Saccharomyces cerevisiae S288C: one gene and its partner. The protein of the gene in region 2 binds, or shares a complex with, the protein of the main gene of each other region. Each region holds a gene or a part of one and is shown on either strand. Other genes may lie near its edges. A codon is read from its position in the direction of its gene.

Evidence for each region. Proteins that work in one complex are often made in the same cells at the same time.
Region 1: the proteins of TFB2 (region 2) and TFB1 are in contact, whole or in part, in a cryo-EM structure (PDB 7K01), measured with the Saccharomyces cerevisiae proteins. Residues at the interface, in NP_015203.1 of Saccharomyces cerevisiae: Phe52 (codon at 2,816), Asn53 (codon at 2,813), Glu54 (codon at 2,810), Asn55 (codon at 2,807), Leu60 (codon at 2,792), Lys64 (codon at 2,780), Trp65 (codon at 2,777), Arg109 (codon at 2,645), Thr113 (codon at 2,633); in NP_010597.3 of Saccharomyces cerevisiae: Gln488 (codon at 4,232), Val489 (codon at 4,235), Asn493 (codon at 4,247), Glu494 (codon at 4,250), Asn497 (codon at 4,259), Asn500 (codon at 4,268), Lys501 (codon at 4,271), Ile504 (codon at 4,280), Ile507 (codon at 4,289), Lys512 (codon at 4,304), Lys515 (codon at 4,313).

Annotation. Positions count from the first base shown.
Region 1 is NC_001136.10:1,082,295-1,088,754, forward strand, and holds TFB1 (TFIIH/NER complex subunit TFB1), read left to right. Parts: upstream 1-2,770; coding exon 2,771-4,699; downstream 4,700-6,460. Other genes in the region: SUM1 (Sum1p), read right to left, coding at 1-2,022; SSF2 (rRNA-binding ribosome biosynthesis protein), read left to right, coding at 5,287-6,460. UniProt on the Saccharomyces cerevisiae protein: Component of the general transcription and DNA repair factor IIH (TFIIH) core complex, which is involved in general and transcription-coupled nucleotide excision repair (NER) of damaged DNA and, when complexed to TFIIK, in RNA transcription by RNA polymerase II.
Region 2 is NC_001148.4:317,799-322,480, forward strand, and holds TFB2 (TFIIH/NER complex subunit TFB2), read right to left. Parts: upstream 2,970-4,682; coding exon 1,428-2,969; downstream 1-1,427. Other genes in the region: RNY1 (ribonuclease T2), read right to left, coding at 1-1,147; MEI5 (Mei5p), read right to left, coding at 3,164-3,832; VPS30 (beclin 1), read left to right, coding at 4,273-4,682. UniProt on the Saccharomyces cerevisiae protein: Component of the general transcription and DNA repair factor IIH (TFIIH) core complex, which is involved in general and transcription-coupled nucleotide excision repair (NER) of damaged DNA and, when complexed to TFIIK, in RNA transcription by RNA polymerase II.

The sequences.
Region 1 (6,460 bases), on a different chromosome or scaffold from region 2:
TCCAACTTTGTGAACCGTATCGGCAGCGGATATGGTTAGACCCATCTTGAGAGAGTCGCTGTTTGCGTTTGAGCCCTCATTGTCAATATCGACGAGTTTTTCTTGCTCTAATGGTTGATATCCTTCCTGTTGGTGGTCTGAAATGCCGCTGATGGAGGCCGATCTTGGTTTTGGCGACATTGAAGAACCTTTAGTTGTTGGTTTTTCTGCACTTTTTATCTTTGAACGGGTGGAGATCTCATTCAAATTTAAGTTCAAGTGATTATCATGTATTATCGAAGTCATTCTTTTCCTCCTCTCTTCTTCTTTCATTGCTTTTAAGAGTTTCTTATTAGACTCCATAAATGACTTTGCTTTATCGCGATCGTTATATTTCATATTAACAAGCATTTTCTCCCTTGAATCACGTCTTTTATCTAATTCTCTTTGTTGTCTATTCATCTCTGACGTAACCGCCGCAGCAGCGGCAGCTGTTGCTGCTGCTGGAGAGGAAACGGGTGGTAATTTGACCGTAATATTACCGCTGGCGTCATAACTTAATGAAAACTGATCGTTAACCATTAATCGGCGAATATCACTATTGATATCTGAATTAGCTGAAAATTTAATGACGTTGTCAGTATTATTATTATTGGTCGTATTATTACCACTATTTTCGCTGGATGATTTGATGGTTATTATTTTCTCCTTCTCGGTTTTATTTTCTTCAACATTTACCTTTCCTTCCACGTTATTATGAACAGTATCAGTAGTATTCGAATCCTCTGCGTTTGGATCACCATTAGTTGAAATTAGAGAGGCCAGTTCTAAACTTTTAATGTCTATTTCTTGTGTGGCTGACCTTGAAGTCCGAACCGGAGCCGGTTGTGACACAGGATTGGATGGAGATGATGGTATTTGATGAAATTTGGAAGATGGAAGCAAGGAATTTATTGGAATCTCGTTTTTAATCCGATTAGATGCATCTGACTTATCTATCGTATCCGTGGAATTGGATATCATTGTTTCCACTGTTCTCTTTTTTGGGGGCCTGCCTCTTTTTCTTTTGATTTGAATTAAGTTGTTCGGCGTAACAGGTGTTGGTGTGATGGAGCTAGAATTAGCAGTGGATGGTCGCTCTTTACCATTTTCATTGTTCGTTCTTTGCGGTACGGAAGTCAAGGACATATCAGCATCATCTCTTGATGATGAAGGGGCAGATAATAAAAGCGACTCTTGTTTCGTTGATGGTTCCACAAAATACCTTTTGGATTTAGACGTTTGTACTACGGCAGTCGGTAAAGTAATATTTACTGGTGAGAAAGGAGCACCCTGATTGGATGCACTTTTGAGATTGACCGAGGCTGCGTTTGACACTAACTTATTCATTGTGGAGGTCGAGGCATCTTTTCTTGGCCTGCCAGGTCCCCTTCGAGAAGAAGAGGTATTATGCTGTGAACTGGTATTGTTGGATGAATTTTCTATGAGAAGGTTAGAGTGATTTACTTTCGAAGTATTTTGCAACATTGTCGATAATTTGTTCAATCGTTCATTCAAATTATTGACCAATATGTCAGTATTTACTTGATTCTTCATGACATCATCCAGCTTATTTTCCAAAACTGATTGGTTGTGTGATAAAACTTTTAATGAGTTAAACAAATCCTGCACAGAATCAGTGAGGGAAGTGTCTTTGGAAAGCAAAGCCGTCTTCAAATCGTTGCATTGTTTTGTGACTTTGTCCATACCCTCTTTTAGGGCTTCAATAGATGAATGTGGAAAGGCCTCGGAATCTTTTATATGAAGCGGATTTGAACCAAAACCAGAGCCAACTTGTCGTTTTATATCAGAATCATCACTGACTGGTATGTCTGTGATGGATGGCAAAGCTTTAGCGTTCGCATCTGTATCTAGCTTCCTCAAACTATTAGCTTGATTTTGAGCACTGGTAAGTGCTAACGTATCTACGTCATCTTTGGGTCCAGACGGAAGTCTCTGTTCATTGGTTATGTTATCAGAAGGGGCTGTGGTGTTCTCAGACATCCCCGCAACAAACGAATTTTGTTAATTATGTATGAAACTTTTCGTTTGATCTCAATAATACCACTAGCGACTAAATTTTTATGATACTTAGCTACTTTAAACAAGTCCCTTGTGCTCTGTTTGCTGACACTTTTGATAAAATATGCCTGTGTATAATTCTTTTAGCAGTTTATTTCAAACACAAATGGTATTAAAAGGATAGATGAAAAAAAAAAAAAAATTAAAGCCACTAGTAATGATACAATCGTGGTATCACAAGCGCTGAATGAAACAAGTGTGGCTATCTATAGCGGATGCAAGTGGAGAACTTGTGAATCCAAACTGAAATATTTTGCCATCATTTGTTGTCCTTTCCCTTTTCCATTCAGGAAAAAAAAAAAAAATTTGACGTCGCCGTCGCGTCGCAGTCATATAATTACAGCAATTTATCTTGTTGAACGACGCAAATTAATGGAAATTGTGACTTACATAGTAAGTATTAGTAAACGTAGTTAAGGCCACGTGGGAAAGATATGAAAGGAGTGTAAGTAATGGATATCGGTCTAACGAAAATGGAAACCAATCTTTAAAAATGATAGTATGATTCGACAGTAAACTAGAAAAGCCACAACCCGTGGGACATGATAAGGCTGCTCGTTTTTGACGCAATTTTTAGACAATACTGAAATTTAGCATAATAAGCTTTCCCAGTGAAAGTAATAATATTTAACCTAGGGTAGGGGTAGGGAAAAAATAAAAGTAAACCATAATGTCACATTCCGGAGCTGCCATTTTTGAGAAAGTTTCTGGGATAATTGCCATAAATGAGGATGTTTCACCCGCAGAATTGACATGGAGGTCTACGGACGGTGACAAGGTTCACACAGTTGTCTTATCCACTATTGACAAGTTACAAGCTACCCCTGCTTCCAGTGAAAAAATGATGTTGAGGCTAATCGGGAAAGTGGATGAGTCAAAAAAGAGAAAAGACAACGAAGGAAATGAGGTTGTGCCCAAACCGCAACGTCATATGTTTTCGTTTAACAATAGAACAGTTATGGATAATATCAAGATGACCCTTCAACAAATCATCTCACGGTATAAAGATGCAGATATCTACGAAGAAAAGAGAAGAAGAGAGGAGTCTGCGCAACACACAGAAACACCAATGAGCTCTTCTTCTGTTACTGCAGGGACTCCCACACCACATCTCGATACACCACAATTGAATAATGGGGCTCCGTTGATTAATACAGCCAAACTAGATGATTCTCTCTCTAAAGAAAAATTGTTGACCAATTTAAAGCTACAGCAATCTTTACTGAAAGGAAACAAAGTTCTAATGAAGGTTTTTCAGGAAACAGTCATTAACGCCGGTTTGCCTCCATCTGAATTTTGGTCAACTAGAATTCCGTTATTGAGGGCTTTTGCCTTATCTACTTCTCAAAAAGTTGGGCCTTACAACGTTTTGTCAACTATCAAGCCGGTGGCTTCATCGGAAAACAAAGTCAATGTTAATTTGTCAAGAGAAAAAATTTTGAATATTTTTGAGAACTATCCAATTGTAAAGAAAGCTTACACTGATAATGTGCCCAAAAATTTCAAAGAACCAGAGTTCTGGGCAAGGTTCTTCTCTTCGAAGTTATTCAGAAAATTAAGGGGTGAAAAGATCATGCAAAATGATAGAGGTGACGTAATCATTGACAGGTACTTGACATTGGATCAAGAGTTCGACAGAAAAGATGATGACATGCTATTGCATCCTGTGAAAAAAATTATAGATTTAGATGGTAACATACAGGACGACCCAGTTGTACGAGGCAACAGGCCCGACTTCACTATGCAGCCAGGTGTGGATATTAATGGTAATAGCGATGGTACCGTGGACATCTTAAAGGGTATGAATAGATTGAGTGAAAAAATGATTATGGCTTTGAAGAATGAGTATTCAAGGACAAATCTACAGAACAAATCTAATATTACAAACGATGAGGAAGATGAAGATAATGATGAAAGAAATGAACTGAAAATCGATGACTTAAACGAAAGCTACAAGACAAACTATGCAATCATACATCTGAAAAGGAACGCACATGAAAAGACAACCGACAACGATGCGAAAAGCTCGGCAGACTCGATAAAGAATGCAGATTTGAAGGTTTCTAATCAACAAATGTTACAACAGTTGTCATTGGTCATGGATAATTTAATTAATAAGCTAGACTTGAACCAAGTAGTTCCTAACAACGAAGTCAGCAACAAGATCAATAAAAGAGTCATAACTGCAATCAAGATTAACGCCAAACAGGCTAAGCATAACAATGTTAATTCAGCACTCGGCTCTTTTGTCGACAACACTTCTCAAGCAAATGAATTAGAGGTGAAAAGTACCCTACCAATAGACCTATTAGAAAGTTGTAGAATGCTACACACAACGTGCTGTGAATTTCTAAAGCACTTTTATATTCATTTTCAGAGCGGTGAACAAAAGCAAGCCAGTACCGTCAAAAAACTTTATAATCATTTGAAGGACTGTATTGAAAAGCTGAATGAGCTATTTCAAGACGTCCTTAATGGTGATGGTGAATCTATGTCAAACACATGTACCGCCTATTTGAAGCCAGTTTTGAACTCCATTACTTTGGCTACTCATAAGTACGATGAGTACTTCAACGAATATAACAACAATTCGAACTAGAAATATAAAGGCTCTCCAGTTGTTACCACTTTTTACATTCATATTTTTCATCTATTTACTGCATGTTACATATTACATAAAACTTAATTGTGTGTATTCTTCCTTTTTGGTCTTTAGTCTCTATGTAAACAATAGAAAAACGCGGGACTCGATTAACGCTGTGCTGCACTGATGCAGCCGTGCGTGTAAATAAAACATTTAACGTGAAAACGCGCGCGAATGGCTTGTGAAACAAACAAGAAACAAACGGGAAATATTTCAGCATGTGATGTGGCTGAAAATTAGCAAACGATTCGTCAAAATAAATCAGTAATGGTGCTTTAGTTCTATTACAGCTTGCTAATGGTTCAGTAATATTTTCAAAAATTTTGCCAAACAGACCTAAGCACTTGCAATACTCCAGACTGTTAGTTCAGTCATTATCTATCATCTTGGACGATTTTGCAATTTTTTAGTGTAGATGCATCTCATCGACGGGCTTGTATGAATGATATTAAATAGGCAAAATAAACTAGTCTAGCTAATATTCGACTAAATTGCAGCTGCTAGGTCACCATCCCGCACATACCTTAGATATTTTGGAACTAATGGCTAAAAGAAGGCAGAAAAAGAGAACGCATGCGCAGATCACACCCGAGCAGGAACGAGATATTCCTAAATCCATGGTAATCAGAGTGGGACAAACTTCATTGGCTAACCATTCTCTAAACCAATTAGTAAAGGATTTTCGCCAGATCATGCAACCGCATACGGCCGTAAAACTAAAAGAGCGCAAGTCCAATAAACTGAAGGATTTTGTTGTTATGTGTGGCCCATTAGGTGTTACGCATCTTTTCATGTTCACTCAATCTGAAAAAACAGGAAATGTCTCGCTAAAGATAGCTAGAACTCCACAAGGTCCTACTGTTACTTTTCAAGTATTGGACTATTCACTGGGTAGAGATATCAAAAAATTTTTGAAGAGACCTAAATCGTTAAATAATGATGATGTATTAAATCCTCCATTGCTAGTGTTAAATGGGTTTTCCACATCGAAAAGATCTGATGAAGACGATCAGGATGTAAACGTGGAGAAGGTTATTGTTTCCATGTTCCAGAATATTTTCCCACCTCTGAATCCTGCAAGAACTTCGTTGAATTCTATCAAACGTATATTTATGATCAATAAAGACAGAGAAACGGGGGAAATTTCTATGCGCCACTATTTTATTGACATTCGAGAAGTAGAGATCTCTAGAAATCTAAAAAGGCTTTATAAAGCCAAAAATAATCTAAGTAAAACAGTGCCGAATTTGCATCGAAAAGAAGATATTTCTTCTTTGATATTAGATCATGACTTAGGCGCCTATACATCAGAATCTGAAATTGAAGATGACGCTATTGTGAGAGTGGTTGATAATCAGGACGTGAAGGCAAAACATTCTCAAACTTCGCTGTCGCAAAAAACACCCGTTAAAATGACAGATAACGAAGAACGTGAAAAAGGAATTGAAGAAGAAGATGTGGAAATGGAGGAACCTAAGCCTTCAGAAAATTCGCAACCAACTCCACGTAAGAAGGCTATCAAACTGACTGAATTAGGACCAAGATTAACTCTAAAACTGGTCAAAATAGAAGATGGTATTTGTTCAGGTAAAGTATTACATCATGAATTTGTTCAAAAATCAAGCGAAGAAATCAAAGCCTTAGAAAAGAGACACGCTGCAAAAATGAGGCTGAAGGAACAAAGAAGAAAGGAACAAGAAGAAAACATTGCTAAAA
Region 2 (4,682 bases):
GATCAAAATCGAATTGACCTGCATCCTTAATGTTCCTGAATTTGCAGACCAATTCATTAGATGAAGACGAAATAATGTCACAAAACCCTTGGTTAGTTCTCAAGTAGTAATTCCCATAGGGAGATTTAATCAACTCGTAATTCGCTGGTGTACCTTGACTCATCCAGTGTCCATTCTTGATTAGAAAGCCTTGCATCTGATCTCCATTATTAATATTTGATAGACGAACGACTCCTCTGTATCTTGCTCCCTTATTAGGTCTCCTCCTGAAAGTTGGGACATAACCTTTTGGAAAAAACTTAATACCATCTTTTTTACAATTTGTTCGAATGGCAAGTGAGTCCATGGGCACAAACATTTCGCTCAAAAGGGAACCCTTCAAGTGGTTATAATACCATACTTCGTTTAAGGAATTATGTCTATCACAGCCTATGAAGACTTTTTTTCCTTCAAACTCTTTACTTAGTGCTGCCTCTATCTGCTCCAAAGAATAGGAATTGTCCACACTTGGGACAATATTATTTTTTTCTAGTGTTGAAAATGTGTCCAATTTCTTGAATAGATTATAAGTTATTCTAAAATAATCATAGACCGCTCTTTTTCTGTCAACACTATTAGCACCCCACTCAGTATAGCACTCTGGTCTAATTGTGCTAATGCACGTGCCATGTTTATTAAACTCGTGTATCCATAAGGACTCATGATTCCCGTTATTACTCTTCCAATATAAGTCTAGGTATTCAAGCAGCTTTTCGCCCGATATTTGCAGGGATGTATCATTATTATTAAATTTCTTGTCATGCAATAAGTAGTAAACATCGTCAATTTGTAAGGACCTATTACAGAATTGTTGGTAGCCACCATGACAATTATCTGGCCATAATCCGTGAATTGTAAATGAATCTAGAGGCCCTAACTCCTTCACTAATTCAGTTTCATTTAAATCGTTTTTGCTTGGAAAGTAATTCCAGAATTGGGTTTGTAAAAATATTCCACCTGGATATTCAAAACAACACGAGTTGTCTATATCAGTTTTATTGGAACATGATAATGGAATGTTTATAGGGCAGTTTGGTTCTATACCCTTATCTGCTCCATTCGAAAAAATTGGTAGTTGTAAGAGACTGTGTAAGTTTTTCAGTAACATTGACACAGTACTTTAGTTTGAAATATCTTAAATAGTTGGCCTTGCAATAGGTCGAAAGTTGAAGCGTTAATTATAAATTCGGTAGTTCCCCTACTTTTCGATAGGTTTGCATTTAAGGGATATTTTAGGAAAAGCTTAGATACCGAAATTTTGTTGATAGAGATGCAAAAGAAGAAAGAATGAAAAAGGAAAACAATTACTGCGCAAGAAAGACGCGTGTGTTAGCGCAATTGTTACGTTGAATGCATTGATATGTAGGGGCATATATATGTATATATACTTATTGTTTCTTTTTCAACTTTCTTTTAGCGAAATCAAGTACTTGAGAATTACCTTCCTTTGAGATGAAAAATTTCTTCTTTTTGTCGTCTTTCCACAACAAAACACCGATATCTTGAGCGTACTTACTTAGTAAGTTGTATTCTTGACTAGTCTCAAAATCAGAATATAAGGAACCTTCATATGTAATGACTCTATCTAACTCTAATTGCCATAATCTGATTTGATCTACGACGGTAGGAGGCAAAACTTGTAAAGGCTCCTTACAGTTGGGGTCCAGCTCTAATTTTTTTTCTAGTTTCTCTTCTGCCAACCTTCTCATTTGAGGATGTGCATGTGTCTCCAGATAGGCAATGATTTGGTCGGCAGTGATACCATTGGTCAATGCTCTTCTTATGGATTCCCTTGTTATTTGACCCAATACCATATTCACAAATCTTGCCTTTAAATGAACAAAAAGAGACAAAACAGCAATTTGCAGAGGTGAATTAGAATATGAATAGATTTTGAAATTTGTTTCTACAATCAATGAGCCATCGGGTATATCTTGATTTTTTAGACCTGCTTTGTTCAAATCATCTGATGTAGTGATATCTGTTGTGGATTTCCCGTTGGCGCCGTCTTCATTTACTGACGGCTCTTCTCTATTCTGTCTCAGTACACTATCCATCGCATTGGAGGCAGATCTGATTGTCTTGGTATCGGAAGTCAGCATCAAAGCTAATTTTGTTGGATAAAAAATGCTATCATTTGAATGCTTCTGGAATACCAAACCATAGTCTCGCATATCTTGTAACATAATTCTTTGTGTTTCGCTTAATGCATCGATTTTATAGGCTTTGCCAACTTCCAATGCGCCTAACATGAAAATAAAATGTAAAACATCGACTAAATCCATTTTGGACGTTTCGATCATTTTTAAATATTGCAATAATAATGTCCATAATTGGGAGTTGATTTCTTGTAAAAGAAATTGGAAGCCTTCATTAGTGATTTTGAACTCTCCAGTAGAGTTTACCTCTTCCATTAGTTTACTGTGTTTTAAAAGGTTCAGTACTTTTTCAGATGGGATTTTAGCGAGGGGAGTGCCAACCATGAAATGTAATATTGTTTCCCATTTATTAGCTGAATATTCATCCAACAAGTCCAGGCTAACTACGTTTTCCTCTACAACCACACCGAATGAGTTTTGAACTTCCCCACCCGTTAATGCGTTCCTCAGGCTGATTTTGAATGTTGGGTTTAGGTTGATCATCAAAGTACCAGATGATTTATTTGGTATAAGAAGATGCAAAGACTTCATCGATTTGATTGCATTCTGAAACTGCAATTTACCATTAGAGTTAACCCATTTATCTAAATCCAACAAAGGTACTTCATTTTCGTTGAAAACCATTGCCATGATAAAAAATTTAGCTAGTGGTGGTAAAATTCTATAGATAGCCAGACATGTAGCTGGTGAGGTATAAAGCCTATTTTGAACTTGTTGAGGAATTTCTTCCAAATACTGAGTGACCGAATGCTTCAGGGAATAGTCACTCATTATATTGTTCACTTCTTCCCTTTGATGGTGGCTTTTAATGCTAAGTTACTAGTATTGTATTCTGACGATGAAGTTAGGTTATATGTGAATATATGATGGTGCGTAATTTGCGCTACAACAAAAAAATACATTCGTTTTTTCAGTAATCGCGTACCTAATAGAAATGCAAGATGAATAAACGTTTTACGCATTTTTCATTGTGGAAAGATTAAGCTGTAGTCAAGTTTTAACCTAGTGCATAGTTCAGCCATTCCAAAATCTTTCCCTTCGCTATCATGCAGCACCTTATTCAATTTTTCCAGCTCCGCTATTTTTTTTTTTTCCAACTCTTTCAGCTGTTCATTCATTTGACTCTCCCACTCTTGTTTCTCAACTTCTGAAAGTTGTCTAAAGTCATCACTTTCCTTTATTTCACAGATTTGATCTTCCATACCGTTGTCAATCTGATATTCCAATCTTCTCTTTTTAGCCTCCATTTCTTTTTCTAGAAAATCTTTATAGCCGCCCATTCTATTGATTTTGATTAAAGTGGAATTTAAAATAAAAGACAGTTCCATCTCACAAATTGTCCTCCATTTTTCTATGGATTTTCTGTTCTCAATGATCTTGTTTTCGCTGAGAATTTTACAAGCCTGCTGTAAGTGATTATTTTCTTGCCTGAGAAGAGTAAGTTGTTTCGTTAACTCCCTATTTTTTATCGCAATTTCCTTCTGGTTCGTAGGCTTCTTCAAGTCCTTAATACCGCTTTTACCGACCCGATAGTTATTAGTGTCCTTTTTTGTATAAGAATGGTTGATGCAAGTATTTTCTTCTTCGTTCACCAAAGTTTTGTCCTTGTCTAGCCACTCTTCCTGATTGTGCATTACTATTAGATAACTGTAATTTGGTGCTTTTCCTGGAAAGTATACTTGTGATGTGGAAGTATTTTAAGTTCAAGTTTCTTGTTTTCTTTCCTATTTATGCGGAAGGTACATAGAAGTTTGGGCGGCTAATACTTTTTCCGCGGCTAATCCTATAGTAAAATGATCACTTTCATATAGAAAGTTGGTATATAAAGTGTCAACTAAGAGAGAAATAGTTCGAACCAGGTGTATTTTAAATCAACTATCGGGAAGTATGGACTGGTGGTATAATCGAATTACATAGTCCTTTTACCTTCATTAGTAGTACTTAAGTGTCACCCGCCTGGGGATTTTGCTCTCATAGAAGTAAAAGGGTAGTGCTATGGGAGCACATTAGGTAGTTCAGTTACGTTTTATGGCAGTCACTGTTTTCGCAAAGACTCCCAGACACGGGCATTAAAATGAAGTGCCAAACATGTCACTTACCCCTGCAACTAGACCCATCTTTAGAAGGTCTTAGTTTAACCCAAAGAAATTTGCTACTTTCAAATAATTCAATTATCACTGCAACGAATGAAAATGTCATCAGCAACAAGGGCATCGAAGCCGCAGATAATTGTGGGCCTCAAATACCGAAGGAGAGGCTGAGGCGATTAGGGGAGATTCAGAACATAAAAGACTTGAATTTAAAAGATGATAAATTAATCACTGATTCGTTTGTTTTTCTTAATCACGATGATGATGATAATGCTAATATTACGAGTAATAGCAGAGAGGACCAGCGTTATGGAAATGCCAACGGAAATGATAATAAAAAAGCTAATAGTGATACTTCCGATGGAACCAGTACCTTTCGAGATCATGACGAAGA